Linked DNA regions of Macaca mulatta. The protein of the gene in region 2 interacts with the protein of the main gene of each other region in a biochemical or structural test. Links are inferred from orthologs where the notes say so. Each region holds a gene or a part of one and is shown on either strand. Other genes may lie near its edges. The genes, in order: LGALS3, LGALS3BP and LGALS1.

Region 1 (10,234 bases), on a different chromosome or scaffold from region 2:
TATTGCTTGCCCCAGTAGCATAATTTGAACTTGAAGCAGGGCTTGAGGGAGTAAAAAGATCTCAGCAGGATCACACAGTAGTAAAAGGGCTATTAAGTGCTATTATATGGTTTAGGATTTATGGAATCTGTGTAAGTGGCTTAAGATATGGCCTCAGTTTTATTCATTCTGCATACACTGGTTGAGTCCATTTACATATTATTCACATTTTTATACATATATTCTGAATATACCTTTCCAATTTAAAAATAACTAATATACATTTGAAATAAGATCTGCTGGAAAGTAGCATAATCATTGTTGTTTATAATTTTATTGTTATATAGGGAAAATATTTACATGTTTCTTTTTGTTTGTTTTTGAGATGGGATCTTGCTATGTTGCTCGGGCTGGTCTTGAAGTCCTGGGTTCAAGTGATCCTACCACCTCAGCCTCCCGAGTAGCTGGGACTACAGGTGTGCACCACCGCACCCGGTTTATTTATGTTATTTATTAATTTACTATAGCAATGTTGAAGAATTACTTGGTGAAACTCGTGATGGATACTTTACTGACTTCTCTGGATTTGTTCTCCAGCCAGGTCTACAGTGCAGTAATCCATTTACTCAGCTGGAGAGGAGACATCAAGAGCATGCCAGACACATTTCTTTTGGTGGTAACTTGATTACTTTTTCACCTCTACAAGGAGAATTTTGAATTTAAAAATAAATCCATTTTCCTTCACATTATCAATGCTTATATATTCTTTAGACTATTGAAATTTTGGAGAAAATGTATTTGTGTTCACTTCTATAGTATCATATAATGTTTTAATACTCTGTTTATCAAAGTGTATTTTAGATATACTCTTTCTCAAGGGAAGTGGGGATATTTTGTACATTTTCAACACAGAATAAAAAATATACTGTGCCTTGCCTCTCTTGTTTGAAAGGAATAAGCTTAAGGCTAAGTATACTTAGCGCTTATAAACATTCTTTAGTTTAATTGAAATATTAACCTGTGACAGAAGTATTTGCATCTTTTTACACTTTATTCTTAGTTTGAAATCCTAAATTTGTTGACATTGAACAGCTTTGGGTATTACATTTTTCCATAGTATTCTGAGTTTCTTTACATGAGCTTTCTGGATTCCGAAGTCAGTTTGACATGCTGCGGTTTCAAACAGTTCAATCATTAGAGGTACCCATTAAGTCCTTGCCTTTTTGTTTTCATTTTCCCATTGGCATGCCCAAGAGACATTGAGGAGATGCTTTTTACTTTTGAAAAAAATCGTGTCAATCATATAACATATCAGTCACATGAACATTTAAAAAACTGGTACAAAGAAACCCAAGATTTACAGTTAATACAAAGCAATATGCGACACAACAATATTTTGCTCTCAAAAATAAAGCAGATCAGAATAAGACAATGTCAGTAAATGTGATCTTTAATAAGATGTATCACTGAGTTGTTTAGAAAGCTTTCAGCTGTTCATGGCCCTGGGCCATTAGAAAACCCTAGTTTATGTATATTTCTTTTTCCTACATGGCTTGTTTGAATTACTCAAACAAGGAATGGACTCGAACTGGCTTAACAGTAAGGAAATTTATTATTTCACAAGTTATCAAAGTGATTCCAGGTACTTTATAATCAATAGCTCAGTGATCACATCAAGGTCCAACTTTCTGTTCCTAGTTCATTCTGTTATCCTTGATGTCGGCTTCTCCTCTACGGCTGGGTCTTTTTGGGGTCATAAGATGGCTGCTATTGGCAGTTAGAGTTATGTTCTTCCCTTTGGCCTGATTAGACCAACTAATGCCACATCCCCATCTGCAGATCAGTAAGCCAGCAGGGGATTGACTTAAATGAATCAGAATTCCCTGTTGAATCTGGGATCACACCTGAATAAAACCTTGGCTCTTAGGAAACAAGGAATAGATATTGGGTAGGCAACCATCAGTGTCCCCTACTAGATAACGTGCTTGGCTATTGGAGTCTAGAATTATGAGGTATTAGGAAAATTTTTAGAGACAAAATGAAAGAAAACTGTTTTGGACAGAGCAAGAGTTCTTAATGCAGTGTATTGTCAGAGGAAAAAAAAAGTTCTTTTCTACCAAAATAGAATGGGAATTGCTATTTATTGAGGACCTACTATTTGACAGTCCCTTTGCAAACAATATTTTACTTAATGTTACAGTAACTCTATAAGACCTGTGCATTTGATAGACAAAGGAACCAAGGCTCAGAGGATTTAAATAATTTTGTGTAAACCAAGTTCTCTCTTTTCTCCAAAGCTATGTTCTTCCATTTATTTAATAAGAGTAGAAGTCAAGACCCAAATGTTGGGGTAAGGAATTTTTTGGAATATGCTATGATATGCTGCCCACATCCCTCTTTAGCAATAGAGGACTTACTCCTTGAGGTGCAGGAAGTGCTGCTGGCAGCAGCCCTCAGCTAACATCCCTTGTGAGGACTGTGCTGTGTCAGCTGAAGAAAGCCATGTTATCTCAGGTCACATTCTTTCCCAGCTGTCCTATAGTCAGTGACTGATTAAAGTGGGGGTATAAAAAGGCCTGGCCCCCTTGCAGCTCTGAAGAATCCCAGCTTCAGAACTCCCATAGGGTAGGCTAAGTTATTGCTCAACTTCTCCCTCAACCCAATCATGTCTTTCCCATCCCCACATGTACTGATTGCAAGTACACTCCCTCACAAGCCTCTTGAGATCTAATCTCTCTGCTTCCTGGGAAACCCAACCTGTGACAATTACTAATTTAACAGATGTGAAAAGGTAGTATTGTATAAAATATTTTGGGCCTGGTGTGGTGGCTCACGCCTGTAATCCCAGCACTTTGGGAGGCCAAGGCAGGTGGATCATGATGTCAGGAGTTCAAGATCAGCCTGGCCAAAATGGTGAAACCCCGTCTCTACTAAAAATACAAAACTTAGCGGGGCATGGTGGCGGGCACCTGTAATCCCAGCTACTCAGGAGGCTGAGGCAGAGAATTGCTTGAACTCAGGAGGCGGAAGTTGCAGTGAGCTGAGATCACGCCACTACAGCCTGGGTGACAGCGAGACTCAATCTCAAAAAAAAAAAAAAAAAAAAAAAATTTGGTCTTCTATAAGATGAAGTGGTTTTGCCACATCCTAGTTTTGGAATTTTATTAATCTTTGGGCTTGCTGCTAATAAGGGTAGAAAGGCATGGGTAAGAATGTTGACGATGGGAACAATTAAATTTTGAAAGCTGACTATATAAGATACCTTTTTTCTCTGTAAGAGATTTCATAAAAACCAGGGAGATGTTCCTTTATTGATATCAAATTACTGATCTGAAAGCAGCAAACTATAGTTTAGAAGGAGAAATGAGATTAAAAAGCAGTCAAGAAATACACCAGAATCCTAACAATAATTGTCTATAGGTCATCTATAGGTAAACTTTTTCTTAATGCTATTCTCATTTCCTGAACATATTTCCTTAAGAAAATGACAGAATAATTTCCTTGGAACATCTCCTGATTTTAATGAAATTCTGGAAGAGAGAATCTTGAGGTAGTATTTACTTTCTTTCCTTAAGAAAAAGATTTTAACAAGTATAGGAAACCTTGAGGCCCCAATGCAGTATTAATATTGCTGCATATTTTTTCCATTGCACATTATCGAGAATAAACCACTCCAATTAAGTGACATATTGAGACAGGTAATTCACTATAATATTTATTAAGACTTACAAGAAGGATATTGATGAATGTAAAAATTTTCACTCACAGTGAACATAAAGCCTTTACACATGTAAGGTTTAGACTTTTTTTTTAGTCTGCCCCTTTCAGATTATATCATGGTGTATGAAGCGTTGGTGAGGTCTATGTCACCAGAAATTCCCAGTTGGCTGATTTCATTGAGCTGTTTAACCCGATGATTGTACTGCAACAAGTGAGCATCATTCACCGCAACCTTGAAGTGGTCAGATTCAACCAGTACTTGTATCTGAAATGGCATATACATAAACTATTACATGAGGTAATGCATATGTCAGCTGGATTTAGCCATTCCACAATATATACATGTTTCATGTACATGATAGAAACAATTTTTTGTCAACTGAAAGGAAAAAAAAGTCCATTAATTTCAAACCAGTCTGGCCTGAACTCAGGATGTCCAACATTTCATCCTTATCATTCGTGGGACCAGTTAAGATCCAGGGAAAGTAACTTTACAGCAAAAATTCCAAGTTATTCAGATTTTTTTTAAAAGCCACAAATTTATTACAAGGATATATAAGTGAAGCCATAAAGGTGAAGGCTAAGGATTTGCCTGCATAAAAACTTAAAAGAGCCTGGGTGTGGCGGCTCACGCCTGTAATCCCAACACTTTGGGAGGCAAAGGCACAGGCAGATCTCTTGAGCCCAGGAGTTTGAGAACAGCCCAGGCAACATGGTGAAATCCCATCTCTACAAAAATAAAAATAAAAAAATTAGCCAGGCGTGGGTGGCATACATCTGTGGTCTCGGCTACTAAGGAGGCTCAAGTGGGAGTATCGTTTGAGCCTGGGAGGTTGACAGGCTGCAGTGAGCTGTGATCTTTCCACTGTACTCCAGACTGAGTGGCAGTGTGAGACTCTGTCTCAAAACAACCAAAAGTTCTGGTATGGCCTAAAACACCTGAAAGAAAAACACAAAAGTAGGATTCTTTTGGCAAATGTTGTAAAGATTGGTGATAATCAGTTTTGGCAAGGGTAGGAGAAATCTACTCTTCCAATAGTGGATGTTCATTCCTACATCTTTTTGGAAGCAGCAATTTGATAATATCTAAATTGTAAACATACATATTTTAAAGCAAAGATTTCTAGAAGATTTGCTTCTAGGAAGAAAATATTTGTAAGGATAGTTATTACAGTATTTTAGTAAAACATTTCCAGGTTGGAGTGTTTCTATTCTGTAAATTTATATCAGTAGGGTACTAGTTAAATTATCACATCTAAAAATGAAATACTATTGGCCGGGCGTGGTGGCTCATGCCCGTAATTCCAGCACTTTGGGAAGCCGAGGTGGGTGGATCACGAGGTCAAGAGGTCAAGACCATCCTGGCCAACACGGTGAAACTCCATCGCTACTAAAAATACAAAAGTTAGCTGGGCATGGTAGCACACAACTATAATCCCAACTACTCGGGAGGCTGAGTCAGGAGAATCACTTGAACCCGAGAGGCAGAGGTTGCAGTGAGCTAAGATCATGCCACTGTACTCTAGCCTGGCGACAGCGAGACTCCATCTCAAAAAAAAAAAAAAATGCTATTAAGTAACAATATTCTGATATGAAAAGATGTCCACCAAATGTAGACTATGGTCCTTATTTGTCCCTGTTGTTGAAGAGTTTACAGTCCAGCTGTTTTATTTACCACTCTATAGTCAACCCTAACTCAATGCTGTGGACCTAATATTTGTTGAAGCAGTGCTTACAAATAAAAAGCGTGCTGTATGTCAGAAAACACTAGGAAGATACTCATCAAATTGCAATCTTTTGTGAGGATGGGGGAAGGAGTAAAGGAAAGGAAACCTTGTTAATTTTAAAATTTATAAACTTTTCATAAAACTTTAATTTTAGAATAAAAAACATGTAGTTTTGATCTCTATGCCAACTTTTTTTTTTTTTTTTTTTTTCGCTCTGTCACCCAGGCTGGAGTGCAGTGGCACAATCTGATCTCGGCTCACTGTAAGCTCCGCCTCCTGGGTTTGCACCATTCTCCTGACTCAGCCTCCCGAGTAGCTGGGACCACAGGTGCCCGCCACCACGCCCGGCTAATTTTTTGTATTTTCAGTAGAGACGGGATGTCACCGTGTTAGCCAGGATGGTCTCGATCTCCTGACCTTGTGATCCGCCCACCTCAGCCTCCCAAAGTGCTGGGATTATAGGCGTGAGCCACAGCGCCCAGCCCAACTGTGTTGTTTTAAGCAACAAAGTTGCAGTACAACTGTACCATAAAGACTTTTGCCTTTTTTGTTAAAGATTATATTATTTTCATCTCTAGAAAGGCTTAAACTCAGAAGGGTGGCAGCAGTGATGCTGGTGAGGTGCCTGAAAGAAGTGTGGAGTGTGCCACTCCTGGCCATGTTCTCAGCCTGCTGAGCCTGGTCCCCTGGGCAGGGAGAAGATACACTGGTTAGGCACCTTAGGACAGGTGATAAAAACTCATTTCAAGTGCTTTGTGGTTTTAGAGTGATTCCTCATGAGAAATGCACATTATCAATATATAATAGTAGCAATAACTTACTTTGAATGGTTTCCCACTTTCAAATGGGAAAACTGACTGTCTTTCTTCCCTTCCCCAGTTATTATCCAGCTTTGTATTGCAAACAATGACTCTCCTGTTGTTCTCATTGAAGCGTGGGTTAAAGTGGAAGGCAACATCATTCCTTCTCTTGAAATCTAAAGCAATTCTGTTTTAAACCAAAGACCAGTTATTAAAATGATTAAAACTGTATATCTACACGAAGTAAAGAATATAATTTTCTAAAAAGCAAATAATTTCATAATACAGTACCTAGGAAATTTTTCTGAACAGAAAGCAAATCAGAATGGGTTCAAACTGGAAAGTATCCTACACCTGATATTCTATGTACTATCATAAAATCTAAAGGTAAGCAAGACAATATATGTTGAATTTTTTTTGCCTCATTGTCTTCGATCATATTTCCATTCATCTGTAATGCCTCCTTTACAGACTCATGAAAACCCTTCGAGGTTTTCTTACAGAGGTTTAGAGCCACTCTGAGGATACTTTATCCCTTACTATAGATAATGTTTCCTGCTCTTCCAGTTTGCTTTCAATACCTGGTAAAGGCAAGCCAGCTATATAGTTAACAGCCATCAAATGCCTGGCTTCCTCGTAATTAACCAGAAGCCCTAGTTCCTCTAAAACAGCAAGGATGAGATAAGGTAGTTAATATTCAGTATCTTGTTGCTAAGTTGTAAAGTCATGATAGTAAATGTGGTAAACATTCTATGATGTGAGCTGGAACCAATGAAATTGCTAGTTTAGCTTTTTGACCCTGTTCCTTCTCCCTGGATGTTAATGCAAACACAAGTCCTCTTTGACTAACCCCATCCCTGAGTTTCTCAAAGTGTGCTCTATAGAGCAGTAACACCAGAATCATCAGTAGGTATTCTTATTTTAAAGCCAGGTCTGCACTCGAGACCAACTAACAAAGATTCTCTGTATTTTGATTCACCCAGTAAAAGTCACATTCAACCACAAATGATCTTCCAGTGATTAAACTTGTAAGGAAAAAACAGCAATAGAATTTGTATTTGACTAAATATACAATGTTGTCATCTCTGTCACCTTAAGTACTTTTTTTTTCTATGCAGTTCGTCATATAGAATTTGTAGGACTAAGCAACAGTTTTTTTAGTTTACTACCATTAACCATTTCAACCAGAATTAGTTTTGATCTGCCAGTCTCAATCTACATCTCTAGCATTAGAGCTAAACTTTCCAGTGAAATGACTCTAACAAGACAAGGATACCACACTGGGTATTCAGTGTGCATTAGGGGTTGTGGGAGGAGGAGAGCAGATATTTAATCATGAGTGCTGTGTGCACAGGATAAGGTGTGCTGGGTTCTATGTGATGTTGGGAGGAAATACGGATAAGGACATAGAGGATATATATATTTTGTAATTTGCTATGAGACGGGCATTATTGTATGGGGAAGTTCTGTGCTTACAGAAATTGTCTAGGCTGTGTGGAAAGATGGGTTGGCTTAGGATAGTGACTACCATTGCAGAAACAGGGGAGGCTGGCTGAGGTGGAGCGAATGAGCATTTCAATGTGAAATTATCAGATCAGAAGTGAAGTCCATCTCTTGATGGCAGGATGTGGAGCAAGGTGACAGACACTGAGACTGTTTATGGATTCTTGCATAAACCTGTGTACATGGCTTGAATCTGTACCATTTAGGTACTGTTCATAAGACCTAGAGATTCTTCCACTAACCTCAGGCGCAAGCATCCCGGATGGTTTCAGGACATGGCCAGCTTCTTTGTATAATATGTAAATACTACATAACCAGTGGTGACAACCAGGGCCAAGTGGCCCAGGACAGCCATAATTAGCATGTATTTTCCTAAATAAAGCCTCACCCCATCCTAGCCCACCTCATCAATCAAACCACTTCCAATAGCAAAGGTTGATTTATTATGATGAAGTTTTTAACTTGAAGAATCTCTTCAAACCCATAAGCAAATAGTATCTACTCAAAAGACGGGTTCCCAGGCCTACCACTGATCATCTGTAGAACCTGAGCCTCAGTTTTGTCTATAAAAAGGGGAAAGCAATATTCCTTATCCTGCCTTCAACCATGGAGATTAGCTGACATAATACATATCAAAGTATAGAATAAGGTGTGTTACCATTTACTATGAGTGCCCCGATGCTTAGCAAAATTATATGGGAATATGTACGGATTTATGGGATAATCCTATATGATGGTATAGCCAAGATTCTAAATATGTAGTTTTTAAAAATTTTATTAAAATTCAAAATAGCACCGTAAGACAGGGCAAGAAAAAAAAAATCAAAATAGGCCATTCTTTATTCAAAAACCAATCTACAAATAGGGTAGGCTTGTTAATTTTGCTCTCCTTACCTGTTTGCATTAGGCTTCACCGTGCCCAGAATTGTTATCAGCATGCGAGGCACCACTCCTCCAGGCAAAGGCAGGTTATAAGGCACAGACTGGGAATGAACAAGTACATATGGGAGTCATGTTTCTTTAGGGAAAGAAAACGATGTTGCTGAAGTTCCATTACTATTAATATGTGTGAAAAACACATAACTCTAGTATATGCCATCTGTCCAGACTCTCAGGCCACTTTGCCCAGGGGCCAAAGAGATAAGGCTCCTTACATGTACAAATAATTGAAAAGAAAGCCATCAGTAAGTCTCATTACTATGGCCATCCCAATCTACTCATTCATGTTGGCTATTTTTTGGAAAGGCTTAAGCTAGATCTTGTGATCAACATTAACATTTTTGTATCACTCTTAAGGCCCTGTCATGTCACTTGCTTCACTGTGGTTATTCTGCTTCCTGGGGGCAAGCAGCATATCACATACTGGGCTTGTGGGTTCTCATATGGTCTGTACTCACATGGCTCCAGCAGAGTGCTTTGCACGTGGCAGATACTCAATATTTATAGAATGAACACTGTTAAAACTGAGGTTCATTCCACAAATGTTTATTGACCATCTACATTCAAGGTACTGTGAATATCCCCAAAGCTCTATTTATTTATGGCCTCTTTTCTTTCCCTTTTTAAGGCTTCCCTCTGGGTTTAACTATCACCCCAGCCTTTTCATTTTTTGAGACAAGGTTTCAAAAATCCAGGTCTCTGTTGTTGAGGATGGAGTGCAGTGGTGTGATCATAGCTCACTGCAGCCCCGACCTCTTGGACTCAAGTGATCCTCCTGCCTCAGCCTCCCACAGTGGTGGGATTATAGGCATGAGCCACCACAGCCAGCCTATCCAAATCTTTTCTTTCTAGTCCTGATGTGTATTAGTCCTGTACTTCTTCCCACCTGGATTTGCTGCTAGTGCCTCAAATTCAACAAGTGTGAACTAGAATGGTCTTCCCTCCCCCTCCCCCATCAGTTCCCCTTCATGAGTTCCCAGTTTGGGCTAAAGCTTTGCTGATGGCTCTAATTGCTCAGCCTTGAAAAGTCAGTCTTCTATGTCTTCTAAGACATAATCAGTAGGTTCTGGGGGTTCTTCCTCTGTCATCTCTCTTACATCTGCCTGTTCCTTTCCACAGCCTTCATGTCCCCCTCTCTCTGCAACTGACTAACCATCTCTGGTATAGGCCCATCTCAATGCCACCCACTCCCCCAAGTCTTTCTACTCTGAACCGACCTAAAAGGAGACAATGCTATCTTGTGCCATCTTCTGCATAGTTCTGAAATGGTCTAATCCCACACTGGTACTTAGCTCTTTCCTCATATTTATTATATGTTTTATCATCTAACTAGACTATAAATCTGGAAAGGAAGGATCCTGTGGCTGAGATGTATCTGGATCCCCCACGGAGTTATGTTTTACATTTAGAATTCACTTGCTAAGACATATTTTAATTTGCATGAAAATTCAACCCTTAGATCACAAAATTATCTTTAGAAGGTTTCTCAAAACCAGATTACCCTGGTTCCTCTACCTGTTTGCTCAATGACCCTGGACAAATTATATCACTTCTGTATTGCCCCAT
Region 2 (9,946 bases):
AAGCACCTGTTGGTGGGTATTGACATTGTTGCCAATTTTTCACTCTTACAAGGCTGAGATGAGAATCTCTGTCCCCTGTCCCCGTGGTCAAGGATTTCCAGAGCGAAGCTTCCTAACTCCTGCTGTTCATTCTCCCTCCTCCCAGCTTCCACAGTCTGCTGTCTGCTGCTCTCCACGACCCAGCCCGGTCACGTCTTCCAGAGACCCGATCGCCCCGCCAGAGGTGCAGCCCTGACCTTGCTGCCTCAGCATCCTTCCCTTCCCGTCGGACATGAGCAGGAGGTAGTGCTCACAAAAGCACACCCACCTATAGGCTGGGTGCGGTGGCTCACGCCTGGAATCCCAACACTTTGGGAGGCCGAGGTGGGTGGATCACCTGAGGTCAAGAGTTCAAGACCAGCCTGGCCCACATGGTGAAACCCCATCTCTACAAAAATACAAAAGTTACCCGGGCATGATGGCGGGTGCCTGTAGTCCCAGATGCTCAGGAGGCTGAGGCGGGAGAAGCGCTTGAAACCGGGAGGTGGAGGTTGCAGTGAGCCAAGATCGCACCACTACGCCCCAGCCTGGGCGACAGAACAAGATTCCGTCTTGGCCGGGCGTGGTGGCTCAAGCCTGTAATCCCAGCACTTTGGGAGGCCAAGATGGGCGGATCACGAGGTCAGGAGATCGAGACCATCCTGGCTAACACAGTGAAACCACGTCTCTACTAAAAAATACAAAAAACTAGCCGGGCGAGGTGGCGGGCGCCTGTAGTCCCAGCTACTCAGGAGGCTGAGGCAGGAGAATGGTGTAAACCCGGGAGGCAGAGCTTGCAGTGAGCTGAGATCCGGCCACTGCACTCCAGCCTGGGCGACAGAGCGAGACTCCGTCTCAAAAAAAAAAAAAAAAAAAAAGATTCCGTCTCAAAAATAAATAAATAAAATAAAATAAAGCACACCCATCCAGATAAGGGGTGAGGGCACCCGTCACAGCCAGACTTTCATGAACACACACACGCCTATGCCCACACAATCACACACCCACGTGCACGTGTGCAGTGACGCGCACCCTCCTGCTCGTGTCCCACTGTGTCATTGCTCCGGGCTGGGAGGTGTGCTTCCTGTTCCATCTTCCCCGCTAGCCAGTAGCTTCACAAGGACAGGGACTCTGCCTCATTCCCTGCCCCCCAGAGCCTGGCACACCTGATGTCTAAACACGGTATAGACCCAACAACACTTTCTGTACAAACAAATGTAGGAACCACAATGTCATTTTAATGACCTCAGACCAGTGACAAGGGCAGACTGACCAGGGGCTGTGGGGGGACCCCAGAGCGACCTCGAGGACGCCCTGGTGCTTACCACCTGGAACCTGGTGAGGCAGTGGGAGAACTCCTGGCGGACACGAGTGGAAGTCTTCTTGAAGCTGAGAGCTCAGGGGAGTAGGGGGACATCTGGTGGACGGTTGTTGATGGTGGTTGCAGAGAAGAAGGAAGCCAAGGAGGGGAGCCTGCAGTGAGGGCGTCCTGGGGTTCTCGGGTTCTTACCACCCTTGGGCCACGCCATCTAGTCCACACCCGAGGAATTGGTCAGGTAGAAGGGGCGGATGACCGTGCGGAAACTGTTGAAGTGCCCTGCTGGGCAGGGGAAGAAGGAGGTGCTCTTGGAGCTGTTGGTGTCCAGGGCACTGGGAATCGCAGCCTTCCGGCCCTCGAAATCGGTGGCGTCTGCCACAAAGAGCCCTTCGCAGAGCATCAGGGCTTTGTTTTCGTAGGCAATGCTGCGATCTGAGCCGCCAGACTTGGTGAGGCCCAGGATGGGGAGCTCGTCGGACGAGCAGGAGAAGCCGTAGTTCCAGCAGCTCTGAATGGTGGGGAGGTAGACCAGGGACCAGGACACCCTCTTGTCCTGGAAGAGGAAGCTGGGGTGTTGTGGGGTCTGGAAGGACTGGTAGGGGTAGTATCTGTAGTCAGAGGGGGCTTGGAAGTAATTAGAATATTTGACCAAAGGTCCCTGTCTGGACTGATAGACCAGCTGTGACTTCCGTGCACTCCAGGAACTGTCCGTCACAGAGGCGCTCCAGGTGGGCGAGGTGTAAATCCGGGGCTTGTAGGCATCTTCGGTGAGGTTCAGGCCTTTGTACCGGGCCAGCAACTGGAAGGGCACCGTGTGGAATTCCAGAGCCTGCAGAGTCTTCCTCTGGAACAGGGCCTTGTGGCTCCAGTACAGGGTCAGGTTGAACTGTAGCTCAAAGAGCTCCTCAGGGAGCATCATAGGGAAGCGGACCTTCTCCACCAAGCCCTCCACCTCCTCATGGGAGGCGCGCTCCCCCCAGCTCCAGGTGTCCACGGCCTTCAGTACGGCCAGCTCGCTGGGCACCACCAGGTCGCTCCTGGGCAGCAGCAGCTGGAGCACGTCTGTGGGGACACTGGGCCAGGCCTCGGCCTGTGTCAGGGCCTCGAAGTTCCAGGCCAGGAACTGCAGGCAGAGCTTCTCCAGCAGGGTGTCCCCTGTGGCTAGTGCATAGGCATACAGGTCCAGGGGCGTCTGGAACGAGGGGTCCTGGGGGAGGAGGATGGCAAAGAGGCTTGCACAGTAGCCCTGCAGCTGCTTGGCCCCATAGGCAGACGCCAGCTTGTGGAAGCACTTGACCGACGACAGGGCGATGTCGATCCTTCGGGAGTAGAAGTACCTGGGGAGAAAGAGGGAGAGTGGATGCCAGCCCCACAGGACAGCAGGGGAGCCCTGAGCCTGCCTGTCCAACACAGCCACCCGAGTGTGCACAGCGTGGGAGCGAGCATGCGTGTGTGTGCAACTGCGCGAGCGCACGTGTGACAACGGTACATGTGCATGCAAGAGTGTGTGCAGGTGTGCGTGTGTGTGGGTGTGCTTTTGAAGCAGGGAGGAGGACAAAGCCCCTGGCAGCCCCAGAGCCTGAGGACGAGACGGCTCACCTGAGAAAGTCCCTGACCATGGGCACACACTCGGCATCCACACTCATGGTGACATTGCTGCCTGGCTCCTTCCACAGGGCCTGGGCCTCCAGGTTGGCAGTCAGGATGATCGTGTGGCCACAGAAGCCCAGGGCGTCCTCGCCCTGCACACTCACACTGATGGACAGGTCGCAGCCCTGCTGGCTGTCAAAAATCTGGCCAAGGACTTCCGAGAGCTCCCTGGAGAGGTCCAGGGTGTGGGTGCTCCTGGTTTCTAAGAAGGGGCGGGAGGGAAGCAGGCTACGTTAGGAGCCGGGACGCTGCCACTCTCTGGGGGCAGCGTCTTCATCTGAAAGTGGGGGGTTCGTGGCTGCCTCATCCACTCTGGAAGGCTCCTGGGAAGATAAGGGACAGGAGAGACCGAAAGTGTCGGATCCCTGGGCCGTGAGGCCCCACCCCTTCCAGCCCTGGGGAACAAGAGCAGCTGGGACCTGGCCAAGCCTGTCCAGGCCCCCGCTTTAGGCCCTCTGCTCTGTGCTGCTCCCCCGATTCAGGCAGCAGCTCTGCAGGGAGACTTGGTGGTGCTGACTCTGGAGCCCCACTCCCCAGCCTCAGTCATCAACCACCAATGACACTGCCCTTCTCAAACCAAAACCACTGCCTGCTTAGATGGCCTGAAAAGTGAGGGTCCTGTGGCAACCCCATTTTAGAACTCTGGGGGTCCTCGAGCAGCCTCCTGTGGGGGACAAGACCTGCAGAAGTCATGGGAGGCTCCCGGGTCAGGGGTCAGTGTGGTATACCCTCCCCCCTTCTTTGAGCCCCTCTCAAAGCCTAACTCAAAACGAAATCCCATAGTTTTTTCTTTGTCACAAATATAATAGATTTGAAGTAACCATGACCTTTCAACCAGGTGGGCTTGCCCTGGGCCTCCTAAAACCTGAACCACTGCAGGACCCCCAGCTGCCTCCCACCTGCACGCCTCACCACAGCTCTCCTGCCCCAGGAGCTTTTGCCCGGCACCCACAGCCCCGCATGCTCCGCCTGGCCTCCCCCGGCCCCCGACAGCCCCATGGCATCTCGTGGGCTTCCCGCACTGTGAGTCCAGGCTTAGCTCCAGTCATTTGTCCATCCCATGTGGGCACAGGGGCTCCCTGGGATTCGACCCCTCCTGCCTTAGGGGCCTCCAGCTCCTGGCAAAGGGCGGTAGGCAGGAAGTGCCCAGGCTGTCCCGTGCAAGCCCAGGAAGAACCACCTTGGCACGGAAGAAACACAAGAAACTCAGATCCAGGGGCTCCAACCCATAGAGCAGCCTGGGTTCCCTCCACACCGGGCTGGGTTGGGGGAAGCTGGCTGGGGCGGCGAGTGGTCGGGCCTCCCTCCGCCAGGACGGGCTTGAGCCTGTCGCATGCTGTGAAGTGTGTTTCCGAGCGGGCGCTGGCACTTCAGGTCGGGCTGCAGCCAGGTGTCCTGCTCACTGAGACTGTGGCTCCCTGCCCCACACTCGGTTTCCGCATGGAGACTTGGTGGTTCTGGGCGTTTCTCCAGAAGGGGCTGGGGAGGAGTCCAGGACTGTGGGACTGGGAGCTGGTGGGCTCTTTGGACGTCCGGGACTCTCCATGCGGAGTGGGCAGGTGGTAGTGGAAGGAACCTTTGTGTGCTTCGTGTGTGGGGGGGTGGTGCCGGGAGGGGCAGGGGCCACGGGACCCCAGGGCACGCTGGGGCCTCCGCAGGGAAGTGCTCACCATTGGTGCAGACCACACCAGCGTCTCTCTCGTGCCTGCAGTTGCTCTTCAGCCAGCCCAGGGACTTGCAGTCAGCCAGCGAGGCCTCGGTTCCCATGCACTGGACCTCGTCCAGCATGATGGGGCCTGATCCTGTGGACACAGCAGATGGCAGGGCTGGGGGTGTGATGACTGCACCTAGGAGTCCCACAGCGAGACTCAGCCCTTTGTTCCGCGCCCCAGCCGTGCGGGTCCGTCTGCGTACAGGTCCTTCACCGGCGAACCACGGTGGATATTCCAGCAAGGGCTGGGTTTGTGATTGCAACGTCAGGCCATAAACTTAGCCTTCATGCTTACAAAGCTTACTGGCTCCTGCAGCAACATCACGTTCATGTACAGTAATTGCGTGCCTGTCCCTGCAACATCAGGCGCACATACTGTATTTGTGTGACTATCCCTGCTGCAAAATAGTTGGTGGATTGTTTCTCTTTTTTTTCCAGAATTGCAACTGCTGTGTTAGTGGAAATCTTCCTGCATACAGACTTTTCTTTTGAGGGGAAATTGTTTCAAGAGGATAAACTCCTGGAGTGGAGTTTCTGGGCCGGAGGGAACAAGCCCAGCCCAGCTCTTGAACCTGCCCAAGCACCTGCCACCGTCACCGGCCAAGTGTGGGTGACGCAGTCCCACCGGAACTTGATCCACAGGGCTTCAGCGCCATCAAAAGTGTTTGCTCTTAGGCCGGGTGTGGTCATCCCAGCACTTCGGGAGGCTGAGGCGGGCGGATCACTTGACACCAGAAGTTCAAGATCAACCTGGCCAACATGGTGAAACCCCTTCTCTACTAAAAAATACAAAAGTCAGCCGGGCATGGTGGCAAGTACCTGCAATCCCAGCTACTCAGAAGGCTGAGGCAGGAGAATCGCTTGAACTCAGGAGGCCGAGGTTGCAGTGAGCCGGGATCGTGCCACTACACTCCAGCCTGGGTGACAGAGCAAGACTCCGTTTAAAAAAAAAAATTGTTTGTTTGCTCTTGCTAAATTAATAGTAATCCAATTTGCATGTCTTTGAAACCTGACTGTCTCATCTTCGGGAATTTGCCCTGCCTGGGAGCTGGCTGTGCTGTGGGTCTCGGCTTTGGAGGACGGGGACAGCAGGCCCTACCTTGCCCGAAGGCAGCTCTGCCCAGAGCCTGGGTGGCGTTCTCAAAGCCCAGGGCCCGGCAGACGACGCTGGCATCAGTCAGGTCCCACAGGTTGTCACACACAGTGCCCCACTGGCCTCTGTAGAAGATCTCCACGCGGCCCTGGTTGGTGGCGCCCCCATCGGCCAGCCGCATGTCACCATCGTTCATGCCTGCAGGTAGAGACGAGCGAGGGCCAGGCTGGGGCCTGCGGCACCCACCGCCCGCACCTCCAGGACCCATGCTGTCCTGGGTCTCCCCTGCTGAGCTTCTTTTCCAGGGTTTCAAGGTCCCCTGGCCTCTCCATGAGGGAGGAGTGGAAGATACATACAGCCCCCTGCCCCACGGAGGCTAAACTCGCCTTTCCTTGTTTTAGGGGTCTCAGCCCTTCACTCCATAGACAGAACAGGGGCAGAGAAGCCCCAGGTTCTCAAGCACTGGGAATGGAGGTGGCAAGACCCCGGGGGAAGGATCGTGGGGGAATGGAGGCCCTGTGCTGACCCGCCCGAGGGTGTCTGCAGTTTGGGGGTGCTGGCCTGTGGGGGCGCAGGCCTAGGGACCCCTGGGAGCACAGGCGGAATGTTTCCAGGGCAGAGAATGGGATTCCCACTCCACACGTCCTTCTGGGACTCAGCCTGCCGACACTCCAGCCCCTATAGGAGCTGACAGAGCCGGGCAGGAGCTGGGTGCCTGAATCTAGCTGGGGGCACATCTGGCTTCCGTGGGGCCCCCAGGATGAGCGTGAGCCTCCAGGGGCTCACAGTGCAAAGGATGTGAGGAAAAGCAGCCAGGACCCTCTGGAAGATTGACCTGCGTCCGAGGCCGTTGACTTCACCACAGCCCCGGTGACTGCTGGTTTGACCAGCTCCTCTGGTTCCCTCTGGACAGAATGGAGGACTCCTTAGTGTCCTATCTATAACCTGCATCTCACCTGAGCCCAGGTGAGCCCCCTGGAACCTCCAAGCCACCATCACTTGGGATACCTGGTGCCGCAGGCAGGAGAGAAGACCTGGCTAACCGCTGGGCCCCGGGCCCCAGGCAGAGCATCTCCTTGAAGCTCTGCACAGACCCAGGCTGCAGCAGCCTCACAGACTTTTGCTTTTGGCATTTCCCAGGGGCTCAGCTCACCTTGGGTCCCTGCGACCAGCAACCACACCCAGAAGAGCCTCGGAGGGGCCATGGCGGTGCTTGGATGCCCAGATCCTGCTGCAGACAGAAGCGGCAGAGTGAGGCACGGGAGCCAGGTGGCCCGAAGCCCGGGGACCGGCCTGCCCATTAACCCTTCAGCCCGACCTGGGCTGTGTGGCAGGCGGGATCCCTCTCCTGCAGAGCCCACTGTGGTCCCAGTAAGTGTGATGGGTGCTATGGAAGCGCCCCACAGGGGCCCCTTCACCTGGTCTGCAGCATGCTCCTGGAAGGATGTGTAAGACTTGGCTAGATGAAGGGGTGGGCTGGGGGTACCCCCTGGCAGTTAAGGACAGCAAGAATCGGTGACTAGAGGCAAGTGAGCTCATCTCAAAAAACCAGGCCCCGGGCAAGGCCGCCACATGGGCATGGGCGGGGAGGGTGGAGAGGGAGGAGGCCATGGGCACAGGCCGAGGTCGGGAGGCCGGGTGAGCCTGGTTAAGATCTGGGCCTTAATCTTCAGGCAACAGACCCCCACAGGGACTGTCCCAGAGGCCTAAGCAGGCAAAGGCAGCCTGCAGAGTGGATGGGAGGGGACTCGTCAGGAGAGGCCACGGAGGCTGGGCCGGGGTGACAGATAAGCAGCAAGGAGACACATCGGGGCTCCATGGTGTTCGGATGGGGAAGATAGGGGAAAAGGGTCAGGGCTGCAGCCCAGGGTGGGCCATGCTGGGGGAAGAACGGGGAGGAAATGCTGAAGTATCCCCAAGACACTGACACTCAGGCTGCGGTTGGGGAGGTCCGGGTCTCCGCCTTCTGGCCTGGTGTTCTTGCCTCCGTGTAATTTCCACGCTTTTGTCTTCGCCTACCTCCCTCCCCCACACCCTGCCAATGGAGAGACAGGTATGGCTTCTCTGGCTCGGTAAGAATCCTGTGACACCTGACACTGTCCCCTCAGTTCAGCAAGCCAGGGGCAGGCCTCTGGGTGGCACTGCTGTGGGCACCGGCTGGGAGTCTGGGCCTGGTGACCTTGAGGCTGCTCAGAGGGGGCCTGGTGGACGGCTGCAATGGCATCGCCAGAGCTTGTTGGAAGTGCTGTCATGGCTGGCCTCGCCCTAGCCCCTCTGCATGGGAGTCTGCATGAACAAGCACCCTGGGAGCTGGGTGCCCTGGCTGGTGAGAGCTTTGCTCTGGGACTCACGCTCACTGGCACTGCGCAGCCACCCCTTATCAGGGCTCCCCAGGCACCACTGGAGGCCTTACCGTGACCTTGAGAACCACCTTAGTTACACCCCACCTTACAAGTGAAGAAGCTGACACCCAGAGAGGTAAATGGGCTCCACGTCCACAGCCATAGGCAGGGGGTCTGCTCGGTGGAGCCCACCTCTCCTCCCTGCGTCAATGTCAGTAGATGGCTAAAGACACCAGGGTGTGACTGCCTGTCCTGTGTGCTGGGGACTGTGCTTGTTTTAGCACTGAAGTTTCCCTGTGTCCTGGGAAACCCTCAGTCCCAGGCACGCCGGTATGGGTGGACGCCCTCTCCACTTCTGTCCCCAGCCACTTCACTCCGCTGCAGCCACCAGGTTTGTCCGTCCTGGGAGAGTAACTCAGGGCCTTGGAAAAATGGCCAAGTGGCCAGGCGCGATGGCTCACGCCTGTATCCTAGAACTTTGGGAGGCTGGGGCAGGTGTATCATTTGAGGTCAGGAGTTCGAGACCAGCCTGGCCAACATGGTGAAACCCCACCTCTACTAAAAATACAAAAGAAGAAGGAGAAGGAGAAGGAGAAGAAGGAGAAGAAGCTGGGCGTGGTGGTGCGCATCTGTAGTCCCAGCTACTCAGGAGGCTGAGGCAACAGAATTGCTTGAATCTGGCAGGCAGAGGTTGCAGTGAGCCATTGCACTACAGCCTGGGTGACAGAGCAAGACTCCGTCTCAAAAAAAAAAGCGGGCAACGAAGCACCTGGCAGGTGGCGTTCCGCCCTCTGGGTGGCAGCAGCTGGCGACTTTTGCCTGATTCCTTCATACGGGGAGTTGAGACCCGGCTGCCTGTGTTGGCCCCTTCATGCAAATCAGAAAAAAAGGTGCTCTTCCTAGGAGTGGGTGCAGGCCTAGGCCAAATGCACAGGCCCGAGAGAGGCCAACCTGGATTCTAACCCACTCGCCCTCTGGCTGGTATCCTCGTGCAGTGAGCCACCTGCCCAACTGCACACAGAGGTCCTGTGGGCCTGGGAGCAGCAATGACTGTTGCTGGGCTCAGGAGCCCTGGATCCCCAGCTCCAGGCCTATGTGCAAACAGGGAGGCATGACCCCCACTTGCCTGTGTAGAGAGAGGGGTGCCCTGGCCGGGCGCGATGGCTCACGCCCGTCATCCCAGCACTTTGGGAGGCCGAGGCGGGTAGATCACCAGAGGTCAGGAGTTTGAGACCAGGCTGGCCAACATGGCGAAACCCTGTCTCTACTAAAAATACAAAAATTAGCTGGACGTGGTGGTGCGTGCCTGTAATCCCAGCTACTTGGGAGGCTGAGGCAGGAGAATCGTTTGAACCCGGGAGGTGGAGGCTGCAGTGAGCTGAGATAGCATCACTGTACTCCAGCCTGAGTGACAGAGTGAGACCCTGTCACAAAAAACAAACAAACAAACAAAAAAAACAAAAAAAACAAAACAGAGAGAGAGAGAGAGAGAGAGGTGCCCACCTGGGAGCTGGAGGCAGCAGCTTACCTGGCTGGGGCAGCTGCGATGGCTGTGCTGCAGCCCCGTCACTTCCAGCCACAAGAGCCCTCTGCAGACTGTTCCTTTGACCCAGAAGCCTCTCCCAGGGTGGAGTGTGGTCAGGCTGATCCCAGGAAATGCTTCAGAAAAGTCTACTTTCGATTTCTAGAAACCACCTGACATCGATGTCTTCTGGGATTGGCTGCTGCGGATACTCCCCAGGGGCCCTCTCCTTCGTCTCAGCTCTGCCCGTGGGTATCAGTGCCGGGCTGGCAGAGGCCCAAGGCGGGAGTCT
Region 3 (11,098 bases), on a different chromosome or scaffold from region 2:
TTTTAGAGAGTCTCGCTCTGTCGCCCAGGCTGGAATGCAGTGGCGTGATCTCGGTTCACTGCAACCTCCTCTTCCCAGGATCAAGTGATTTTCCTGCCTCAGCCTCCCCGGTAGCTGGGACCACAGGCATGCACCACCATGCCCGGCTAATTTTTGTATTTTTAGTAAACACAGGGTTTCACTTGTTGGCCAGGCTGGTCTCGAACGCCTGACCTCAAATGAACCTCCTGCCTTGGCCTCCCAAAGTGCTGGGATTACAGGTGTCGGCCACCGCACCCAGTCAACACTAGTGCAGTCTTTTTCTTTTTTTTTTTTTGAGACGGAGTCTCGCTCTGTCACCCAGGCTGGAGTGCAATGGCACAATATCAGCTCACCGCAACCTCTGCCTCCTGGGCTCAAGCAATTCTCCTGCCTCAGCCTCCCAAGTAGCTAGGATTTACAGGCATGTACCACCATGCCTGGCTAATTTTTTGTATTTTTGGTGGAGACGGGGTTTCTCCATGTTGGTCAGGCTGGTCTTGAACTTCCGACCTCAGGTGATTCACACACCTCGGCCTCCCAAAGTGCTGGGATTACAGACGTGAGCCACTGTGCCTGGCCTAATTTTTGTATTTTTAGTAGAGACGGGGTTTTGTCATGTTGCCCAGGCTGGTCTCAAACTCCTGATCTCAGGTCATCCACCCACCTCGGCCTCCCAAAGTGTTGGGATTACAGGCGTGAGCCACCACACCTGTTTTTTTTTCTTTTTCTTTTTCTTTTTTCTTTTTTTGAGACGGAGTCTTGCTCTGTGGCCTGAGAGCAGTGGCACGATCTCGGCTCACTGCAACCTCCACTTCCCGGGTTCAAGTGATTCTCCTGCCTCAACCTCCTGAATAGCTGGGACTACAGGCGCCCCCCACCACGCCCAGCTAATTTTTGTATTTTTTAGTAGAGATGGGGTTTTGCCATATTAGCCAGGCTGGTCTCGAACTCCTGACCTTGTGATCCACCCACCTCAGCCTCCCAAAGTGCTGGTGTGAGCCAGCATGCCTGGCCAACTAGTGCAGTCTTAACAAAGTTTGCCAGATGAGGAAACTGAGGTTCAGAGACGTTGAATAACTGGTTCAAGGGCACACAGCCACAGAGCTGGGGTTTAAACACAGGTCTGTCTGACGCCAAGCTGGGTTTCCTTCCTCCACACCCAGTGGCCTCTCTTACCTGTCCCAGGACTTTCCTCTGCCCAGTTGTGGCCCCAGTCCTAGTGTCTTGTGAGTGTCAGCCAGTGTAGGGGAGAATCAGTGTGGGTGAACTGAGGACCAGGCAGGGCAGCCTAGGGGACGTGTTCTCCAATGTCCAGCAGAGGGCGCTCCATCTGCAGCCAGGCTTCCGAAGCTGTTTCTGGGTGGCCACCTGGGAGCCCCAGGAGAGCCTGGAGATTGGGTGTGGCTCGTGGGAGTTCTCAGCCTGTGTGTTCCATCCTCTTTGACCTCTCATAGAGAGGTGCGTGTCCCCAGCTCCCACCTAGGTCCCAGGGTACCCACTGAGATGGGAATCATCCACCCAAGATGGGTCTCATTTTATGGATGAGGAAACTGAGGCTGGGTGTATAAGAGACCTAGTCACAGCTGGTGCCAGTTGCCCTAGAAAGGGAGATTTGCCAAGCTCCCCACCCCCCAACCCACACACCATGCCTCAGGAGACTGTGCCTTGGGGCTATGGGGGAGCCCAGTAATGATTCTAACCTTCTGTACCTTGGCTCAGTTCCTGCAGCTGTTTCCCAGGGAGGTAGGGGCCCTGGGAAGATGTGACTGCAGCAGCAGGCAGGAAGGAAAAGGTGCAGGGAAGTGTTCAGTGTGCAGGGCACCCCAGCTGTCCACTCAGGCCCCATCAGTTGTGATGGGTGGGTGCATGGGATTGGGTTAAGCATTACCCTCCAAGGTAACAGCCTGGGCTGGTCTTAGAGGAGACATCATCTTTGGAAACCAGGAGAACAGGTTCATGGAGACCTCATCTCAGGTTGGGTGAGTCACCCCTACTCTGTCCCCTGAGGAGGAGGCTGCGGGAGTCTGGAGGCTGGGCCTCATATTGGCTGGCTTTTACCTCTTGGTTCTCTGCAGGGGCTGATGGAGCCCCCAACCCCAGCTCCTCCTACCACAGAAACAGGGGCTGGCAATGGGGTGCCAGGGTCATCACCTACTTTCCCATTGTTGGGGTGGGGGCATCTGCCCAGGAATGAGAGCCGGCAGCTTCCAGACTAGTCCTTTGGTTGCCCATACACTCTAGCTAAGTGGGGTGCATGGCCCAAGCCCACAGACAGGATCCCTGGGGAGCTCCACAGGCTCAGCTGGGCCTGGTACAGACCTGGGAGTCATTTCATCTATCAGAGCCCATTTCTTCACCTTCAGATTGGAGTAATAGCACTTCAAAAGTGGTGCAGGGAGCTGGGTGCAGTGACGCACACCTGTGGTCCCAGCTATTCAGAAGGCTGAGGCAGGATTGCCTGACCCCAGGACTTTGAGGCTGCAGTATGCAACCACTGCACTCCAGCCTGGTTAACATAGCAAGACCCCATCTCTTAAAAAAAAAAAAAAAAAAGGCTGTGCACGAGGTATGGGAAACCACCAACCACTGAGTATTTGCCATATGCAGGTGTTGAACTTGGCTTCTTTCATGCAACACCTCATTTAATCTCCACTTGATCTCAGCCAGAAGGCCAAGAAGCGACTGATCTTTGGAACAACTCTTTGATAGGCTGTTTGCATTATCCCCCTTGTTATAAAGGAATAAGCTGAGGCTCACAGAGGTCAGTTAACATGCACAAGGCCACACAGCTGGCACCCCATGTTGTCTTGACTCCACATCTCTACCTCATGAAGGCAAATGAGGGGTCTCGTATTCTTCCCTCCACCTCTCTGTCTTCTGTCCCGTCACCACACATGAAGTGGTCTGTCCTTGCCTGTTTCCCCCTTGATGTCATTTACACAACATCCTTTGAGCATCTGCTGTGTTCTAGGGCCCACTAGGCTAAAAGCAGTTTCAGGGCAGGGACTGATTTTTATTCAGTGGTCACTGACCCTCCTACTGTGTGTCAGACTCTCTGTGCTTGCTCTGGGGGACCCAGCGGAAGACATCATTGGAACTGAGGAGGTACCCGTGGACAAAGCAAATGGAAGTGAAGGAAGGGGGCAGGCCTGGAGGTGGGGGACCCCTCTCTCTCTCTCTCTCACACACACACACACATGCGTGCGCACACACAAACACATACACACACATGAGGCTGGTTCAGAGGGGGCAGAAGCAGCTGCCTTTATTGGGGGCCATGGGCTGACTGATTTCAGTCAAAGGCCACACACTTGATCTTGAAGTCACCGTCAGCTGCCATGTAGTTGATGGCCTCCAGGTTGAGGCGGTTGGGGAACTTGAATTCGTATCCATCTGGCAGCTTGATGGTCAGGTCGGCCTGGTCAAAGGTGATGCACACCTGGGGGTACAGGAGAGCAGTGAGCCAGGCCCACAGGCCATGGGCCCTTCCAGAACCCGTTCCTCATGTGGCCCTGACACAGCCCCAGTTTGTGGCTGAGCCTACGGAGGTGCATTTATAATATTTTTTCTTTCTTTCTACTCTAATCCTATGACAGATTTTTTTTTTTTTTTTTTTTTGAGACGGAGTCTCCTCTGTCACCCAGGCTGGAGTGCAGTGGCGCCACCACGCCTGGCTAATTTTTGTATTTTTCTCCATGTTGGTCAGGCTCATCTCGAACTCCCGACCTCAGGTGATCCGCCCGCCTAGGCCTTCCAAAGTGCTGGGATTATAGGCATTAGCCACCGAGCCCAGGCTTTTTTTTCTTTTGTTTTATTCTAATTAACCACTGAGGTTCCAAGAGGGGCAGACACTGGTCATCACACAGGAAGGGAGGGAAGAGGAGGAGAAAGAGAGCAGGCAAGGCCAAGATCTCTAGTCACTAACCCAGCTCCGCCCCAGCCCACCCAGCCCCTGTCCCTAGTCCCGGTTCCGGTCCGCAGCCCACCTCTGCGACACTTCCAGGCTGGAAAGGAAAGGCAGCCTCCCGCTGCTCGGTCCCCCAGGCCCCACCGTCCTTGCTGTTGCACACGATGGTGTTGGCGTCGCCGTGGGCGTTGAAGCGAGGGTTGAAGTGCAGGCACAGGTTGTTGCTATCTTTGCCCAGGTTCAGCACGAAGCTGGGGGGTAATGGGTGGGTGTGAGGCCACCTCGGCCAGCTCCAGCCCCACCGACTGACTAATCTGTCACTCAGTACTCCACGAACACACTTTGCTTGAAGAACTCACTAACAGAGACAAGAAACCTGGATTCTAGCTCTGGCCCTGACAGCTGCTTACGGTGTGAACGTGAGCTAGTCCCTGCCCCTCCTTGCCTGTTTGCTCATCTGTACAATGGGGGCTGCACAGGAGGACTTGCTAGATTCTTGAAGTCACTAGCGTCCTAGCCCTTTTGGTCAAGGTCAGAGACTTCCTCCAGATGGCAACTTCACGTCCTGTCTTGTACATCTGTGTTCCTGGTGCCCAGCACAAGTGGGGCACACCAGAAGGAGATGCTTAGTAATTATGGGGTGAATTAACAAATAATAATACTCCTGGGCACGGTGGCTCACTCCTGTAACCCCAGCACTTTGGGAGGCCGAGGTGGGCAGATCATGAGGTCAGGGGTTCGAGACCAGCCTGGCCAACATGGTGAACCCCCATCTCTACTAAAAGTACAAAAAGTAGCTGGGCGTGGTGGTAGGCACCTGTAGTCCCAGCTACTCGGGAGGCTGAGGCAGGAGAATCGTTTGAACCCAGGAGATGGAGGTTGTGGTGAGCCGAGATCAAGCCATTGCACTCCAGCCTGGAGGACAGGGTGAGACTCCGTCTCAAAAAATAAAATAATAAATGCATTTGTTTAGTGGTGATAATAGCTATACCTGCCTCTGAGGGTTTGGTTGCAATGAAATTAGTGCATGAGAAGTGTACGGCTCTTAACAATATCAGCTCTTAACAATATCAGCCGATCCTCACCCTCCTCATCATCACTACACCATCGGCATCTCACTTCCTCCACACAACCACCTCCCCCCCCTTGTTTTTCTAACAAAATGAGGCTAGGTGAGGTTGGTTGACTGGTCCAAGGTCACATAGCTGCTGAGAAAATAAGGCAGCCGGCTGAGTGAACGAGGAGTGAAGGAAGAAGGACAGGACTGAGCCAGTGAATGAATGACCTGACGCAGGAGGGAGGGACTCAGAGGGAAGGCGGCGGTGACTCCCGCCTCACTCTTCTCCCCGCCCTCCCCAGATGCAGGCCCCGCCCAGACCGGAAAGGGGTGGGGGCGGGGGAACCAAGGTATTATAGATGACGAGGCTGCAGCTGTTGTAGTTTAAGAGGCTACAGCAGGGAGGGAGCGGGGGAGGGGGCGGCAATGGTGGGGGCGCCCAGACCCCGCGGGGGAAGTGAGTCACCCAGAAAGCGCAGCAACGTCGGCCGGCCGTTAACCCACTCTCGGCCAGGGAGGAGACGTGGACTTGGCCGGCCACGCCCTCTCGGCTGGACCAAGCCCCCATCCCTGCCGCCCACCACCCTGACTTCACCTCTCACCTCTTGGCGTCGGGGGCCACCTCGCCCCGCACTCGGAGGCACTCTCCAGGTTTGAGATTCAGGTTGCTGGCGACCAGACCCTGCACAGACAAGCCCCGGCCCAGCAGGTTAGAGGACAAGGCCTCCACTACCCGAAGTGTCCGGGGGTGGCTGGGGGTGGGAGTGGGGTTGTTCCCGCCCGGCATCCTCTGACCAAGCCAAGGGGAAGCCTGGGGACAGGATGGGGCTGTGATTTCTAGCCTCTGATTCTCTGTGTGGTCCTGGAAAAGTCCCTATTCCCAACAGGGTTGGCTTCAATCTGTAATGTGAATCAGGTTCTAGAAGACAGGCTCTAGAAGATTTTGCAGATTGGCCTGGGGATTTTGAACTCAAGAGTGGCTTGGGAGGTGGGGTGCTCTGTCCCATCGCAGATAGAGAGGATCAGGCTGGGGAGGGGCAGGCAGTTGGCCCACAGTCACACTGAATGCAGGGGTCGACCCCTCTGCTGGAGAGGAAGTGGCTAGGGGGACACTACTATTCTCCTTCAAGCTCCTCTCTGCGAAGAGGCCCAGGGGCTAGAGAGGAGACCCTGAAGAACACGGCCCCTCTGCATTAGGGAGTGGCCTGCAGTCGGGCTGTGGCCAGGCTGGTTCAGGGTTAACAAGATTGAGAAAACTGCTGCGCACTGCTGCTCCCTGGCACCCCGAGTGGGTGGGCAAGAGTTAACTGATTTGAGTGGTTTCTTCTGTCAGAAACTTGAACCCTTTCCCTGGGGCCCGAGGAAGATTCTCACCTCCCTGCCACCCCAACCTCCCAGCTTGGGGGTGGTGGAAGGGAATTTCCCCGGCTCCCCTCCCTCCCACCAGCCTGGACACAACCACCCTCCACCCCCGACCTAGAAAGGCCCATCCTGGGCAGCCTGTCTCGGGTCCTGGCGACTTTTCAGCGTATTCTGGAGCAGAGGGTGACTCTGCCCGGGCCTGGTGACTGGGACAGCTGCAGGGGGGAGGGGACGGGAGGCTTTTTGGGGTGGAGGAGGGGGAAAGATATAGTGGCCTGGGTGTCCCCCAGTTGGCCACACCCTTCCCACGCTCACTACTCAGAGAGCTGCAGAATGTCAACCCTGGGCAGAAATAACTGTGCTTTCAGACCCTGGAGGAATCCAAACAATTATCAATGCAGAGAAGGCCTTGAGGGACCATGGCGCCCACCCCAATTTTACAGATGTGGCTACTGAGGTCTAGAAAAGAGAAGGCAGTGGTTCCAGGCCACACAGCTGGGGCTAGAACCCTGCTCCCGATCTGCCCAGCTCTCCTCCGGCCATCAGCTCCTGCCCTATCCCCTGGACCTTGGGGTGGGGTCCCCACACTCACACAAGCCATGATTGAGGCCAGGAGGATGTTGCCAGGAGAGGCGCACCAGCTGTTAGAAGACTCCACCCGAGAGAGATGGGCCCCCGGACGCTCCCACCCTTTTAACGGGACCGGACCGGGTGAGCCCCGCCCCCTGGAAGTTCAGCCAATTGCAAGTCAGGACAGGGCTGGGGGCCACCGAGGGCGGAGTCCGTGGAATTTTGAAGCCAGTTCTGGAGCAGAGGTGACCAATCAGAGTGGCCATCTGCCGCCCCCCCACGAGGGTCCAAGCTCCACCTCCTATTCTTCATCCCTCTCCACCTCCCCCTGCCCCGCCACCACCGAAATTGTGCTGTGGCAGAGATTGGGGGAAGCCAATGGAAAATAGTTTGATGATGAGCTAGGCCCACGAGTTGGCGGGAAGGGGCCTGTGGCCAGCAGGCTGAGCTCAGGGGGTGCCCAGAGAAGATGGCTGAGGAGGTGCAGGGTCCTTCAAGGAATCAGAGCTGGGAGAGACCAGGCCACTCCAGGGCAGGGACCAGGGCGTGGCTCCTGCGTGCGCGTCTGCAGAGGGCCACCGACTTAAACCACAGGCCCTGGCGCCACCCGGGCCTTCCCCGGAAGCAAGGACTGCGGCTGCTGCAGCGCTTGCTCGCTCCTAGCTAAGGCTAAGGAAAGGCTGGGCTGCACGCCAAGCCTTAGGTTGCAGGGCTTGGCTAAGTCCTCGGGCTTGGCCCCCTTCAGGGGCATGCAGGGGATAGTCAAAGCGCCCTGGCCTGACAGCCTCTGGCCTGAGTGTCAAGCTGGGGAGATGGCCCAGGGTGGTCCAGGCCAGGAGGGGGTGGGGTCCTAGCTCTGTGCACCTGTCAGGCCTCTGAGCCCAAGCCAAACCATCGCATCCCCTGTGACTTGCACGTATGCCCAGATGGCCTGAAGTAACTGAAGAATCACAAAAGAAGTGCAAATGCCCTGCCTTGCAGTAACTGATGACATTCTACCACAAAAGAAGTGAAAATGGCCAGCCCTTGCCTTAAGCAATTATATTATCTTGTGAAGTTCCTTTTCCTGGCTCATCCTGGCTCAAAAAGCTCCCCCACTGAGCACCTTGTGACCCCCACTCCTGCCTGCCAGAGAACAACACCCCTTTTACTGTAATTTTCCTTTACCTACCCAAATCCTATAAAACGGTCCCGCCCTTATCTCCCTTCGCTGACTCTTTTCGGACTCAGCCCGCCTGCACCCAGGTGAAATAAACAGCCATGTTGCTCACACAAAGCCTGTTTGGTGGTCTCTTTACATGGATGTGCATGACAGCACCCTGTCCTCTCTCTTTTTTATTTTTATCTATTTATTTTTGAGATGGAGTGTCACTCTGTCGCCCAGGCTGGAGTGCAGTGGCATGACCTCGGCTTACTGCAACCTCTGCCTCCCAGGTTCTCCTGCCTCAGCCTCTTGAGTAGATGGGACTACAGGCCCCCACCACCATGCCCGGCCAATTTTTGTATTTTTAGTAAAGACGGGGTTTCACCTTGTTGGCCAGGCTAGTTTGGAACTCCTGACCTCAGGTGATCCACCTGCCTCGGCCTCCCAAAGTTCTGGGATTACAGGTGTGAGCCATCATGCCTGGCCACCCTGTCCTCTTTCTTCACATCTCTCCTCTGAGGCCTGGCACAGCCCTCCTTTCCCCGAGTGTTCAGCAGGTGTTTACTGAGCACCTACTATGTGCCTGGCCCTGGGCTCTCAGGATTCAAAGATGAACCCCTCCCAGTCCCCACTCTCAAGGAGCGCATGGTTGGGGTGGAATCTTACCACAACCACGTTGAGAAGTAGATGATGGGCTGGGTGCAGTGGCTCATGCCTGTAATCCCAGCTCTTTAGGAGACCGAGGCGGGCAGATTACCTGAGGTTGGGAGTTTGAGACTAGCCTGACCAACACGGAGAAACCCCGTCTCTACTAAAAATACAAAATTAGCCGGGCGTGGTGGCATATGCCTGTAATCCCAGCTACTTCTGAGGCTGAGGCAGGAGAATCACTTGAACCCAGGAGGCAGAGGTGCAGTGATCCAAGATCAGGCCATTGCATTCCAACCTGGGCAACAAGAGCAAAACTCGGTCTCAAAAAAAAAAAAAAAAAAAGAAGAAGAAGAAGTAGATGATGATGGCTCTAAGGGAAGCCATGAGAAAGTGCTATGGTGGGCTGGTGGCTGCATGAGTAAAGGAGGTGGGTCGTGAAGGGTAGGCGGAGAAGCGCCTGGCTTTCCGGCATGGGCAGAAGCTCCGGAATGGGAAGGCCAGGGCTGGGGAACAGTGTTCCGGGCATGTAGGGGAAAGACGGGGATGAGGCTGGGAAGCCATCAGGACCTGGATCATGGAGGCCTCATGGGCTGGGCACAGGGCTTGGACATTATTGTACGGGAGGAGGCTGGGGAGCCAGGGTTAGTACTGAGGCCAGATCTGGGCTGTAGGGAAGATCACTGTGGCAGAGAATTGAGGGTGGGTTGGAGGGGTCTCAGGAACCTGGTGGAGGAAGGGGTGTGGGGAGCACTGGGAGAAGTGAGGGGCATGCTGGGGGGTTGTCACAGGGATGACCTCCTCCACCTGGCCATCCTCCTTCTGAAACTGCTGGCACCAAAGAGGGACGAAGATGCCAACCGGGAGTGACTCACATCTGGAGGCCAGGCCAGCAAACCCACCCTGCCCGACCCTGTCCCCCAGGGGCACCTTCCTCCAGATGCCCAAAGCCCACTCTGGTACAGGATGAGAGGGGAGTGTGTACGGTCACAAGGCGGACCCAGAGAGGGGATGGGGTTGCATCCCCGTGAGTGCCTTACCCCTCCTTCCAGACCAAGTGGCTGCTTGGAAACCAACCACAGCAGCTTCACTTTTTCCTCCTGGCCTCCCCAAAACCTCAACCATAGGAAGGGCTGGGTATGGCCCAGCCCAGCTCCACTGCCCCTCTCCCATGCCTCCCCTCTCTGCCAGATCAAGGAATGGGGCCTCTCAGGCAGAGTCCTAGATGGAGGGCCAGAGGCGCTTCAGGTGTGGTCCTGGCAGGGCTGTGGGCAGGTGGGTGTGGCCACTTTCCCAGCCCAGCCCAGTAGTTGGGTTCCTGTGGCCTCAGGAGCTGCTCCTGCTTCCTCCTCCACCCTGGAAAATGGGCCCAGCACTGGGGAGTGTTTGCTGTTGGATGGAGGGACAGTTTACCCCTCTGCAGCATCCGGCATGAGTGGGGCTGGCAGGGAGGCAAGGTGGCATGGTGAAGAGGTCCCCAGACCCCAGAAAGGCCTATTTGGGAGTCTGGACACACAGGTGCTGGCCCTGCTTGCTATGTCCCCTCAGAGCCTCCTGGTAAACTGTTTCTGCCACTTGCCTCAGTCTCCCTATCTGTAAACTGGGGAGATGAAATCCTGCTTTCCTTGCATGAGGTGAATACAGGGTGGAACTGAGGTCTGTTGTACTAAAACAGATGATTCGTTTCTTCATGGAGGCTCAGAAGGTTTTCACTTCCTTCTTGTCGCTTTTGCCAGGCTGTTGCCTTCCCCGAGTCTTTGCAGCGCCTCTGGGAGGTCTACGTGCCATCCCCAATTGGTCCCCAACAGTCTCCTCTTGCCTAGGTTGGGGCAGGAAGTCTCTCCAGATTCCAGTGTCCCCTGGGACGGGAGCTGTGGTTTTCCTGGCGGGGAGGGAAGGCAGGGACACAGGTGCATCGTGGGCCTCCTCCCCCAAGTCCTCAGGGCCTCTTGGTGGCAGCGCCCACTTATCTTGCCAGGCCTTGTGCCCGGCGCCTTGCTTTCATTATCTCCTCTCTCATCTTCCCCTCACCCCTACTTTGTGTCTGCCAACTTGGTTGAATTTCTGCACAGGGAAATGAGGCTGCAGTTAGAATCAGGAGAAGAGGCCTGGCATGGTGGCTCATGCCTGTAATCCCAGCACTTTGGGAGGTTGAGGATCACTTGGGGACAGGAGTTCGAGACCAGCCTGGCTAACATGGCAAAACCCCATCTCTACTAAAAATACAAGAATTAGCTGAGTGTGGTGGTGGGTGCCTGTAATCCCAGCTACTCGGGAGGCTGAGGCAGGGAGAATTGCTTGAACACCGGAGGTGGAGGTTGCAGCGAGCCAAGATTGCACCATTGCACTCCAGCCTGGGCGACAGAGCAAGACTCTGTCTTAAAAAAAT

What was found.
Region 1: the proteins of LGALS3BP (region 2) and LGALS3 form a complex in vitro, tested with the Homo sapiens proteins (4 studies listed by BioGRID). The link is inferred for Macaca mulatta from reciprocal best matches to the Homo sapiens genes LGALS3BP and LGALS3.
Region 3: the proteins of LGALS3BP (region 2) and LGALS1 form a complex in vitro, tested with the Homo sapiens proteins (2 studies listed by BioGRID). The link is inferred for Macaca mulatta from reciprocal best matches to the Homo sapiens genes LGALS3BP and LGALS1.

What each region holds. Positions count from the first base shown.
Region 1 is NC_133412.1:128,275,123-128,285,356, reverse strand, and holds the end of LGALS3 (galectin-3), read right to left. Parts: intron 8,713-10,234; coding exon 8,624-8,712; intron 6,414-8,623; coding exon 6,248-6,413; intron 3,965-6,247; coding exon 3,809-3,964; 3' UTR 3,752-3,808; downstream 1-3,751. Other genes in the region: DLGAP5 (disks large-associated protein 5), read left to right, coding at 577-696. UniProt on the Homo sapiens protein: Galactose-specific lectin which binds IgE. May mediate with the alpha-3, beta-1 integrin the stimulation by CSPG4 of endothelial cells migration.
Region 2 is NC_133421.1:88,654,925-88,664,870, forward strand, and holds LGALS3BP (galectin-3-binding protein), read right to left. Parts: upstream 9,796-9,946; 5' UTR 9,661-9,795; exon of another isoform or gene 9,636-9,660; intron 7,022-9,635; 5' UTR 6,996-7,021; coding exon 6,944-6,995; intron 5,989-6,943; coding exon 5,739-5,988; intron 4,893-5,738; coding exon 4,657-4,892; intron 3,189-4,656; coding exon 2,936-3,188; intron 2,674-2,935; coding exon 1,548-2,673; 3' UTR 1,237-1,547; downstream 1-1,236.
Region 3 is NC_133415.1:13,847,494-13,858,591, forward strand, and holds LGALS1 (galectin-1), read right to left. Parts: upstream 7,009-11,098; 5' UTR 6,949-7,008; coding exon 6,940-6,948; intron 5,668-6,939; coding exon 5,588-5,667; intron 4,180-5,587; coding exon 4,008-4,179; exon of another isoform or gene 3,687-4,007; intron 3,461-3,686; coding exon 3,314-3,460; 3' UTR 3,286-3,313; downstream 1-3,285. UniProt on the Homo sapiens protein: Lectin that binds beta-galactoside and a wide array of complex carbohydrates. Plays a role in regulating apoptosis, cell proliferation and cell differentiation. Inhibits CD45 protein phosphatase activity and therefore the dephosphorylation of Lyn kinase.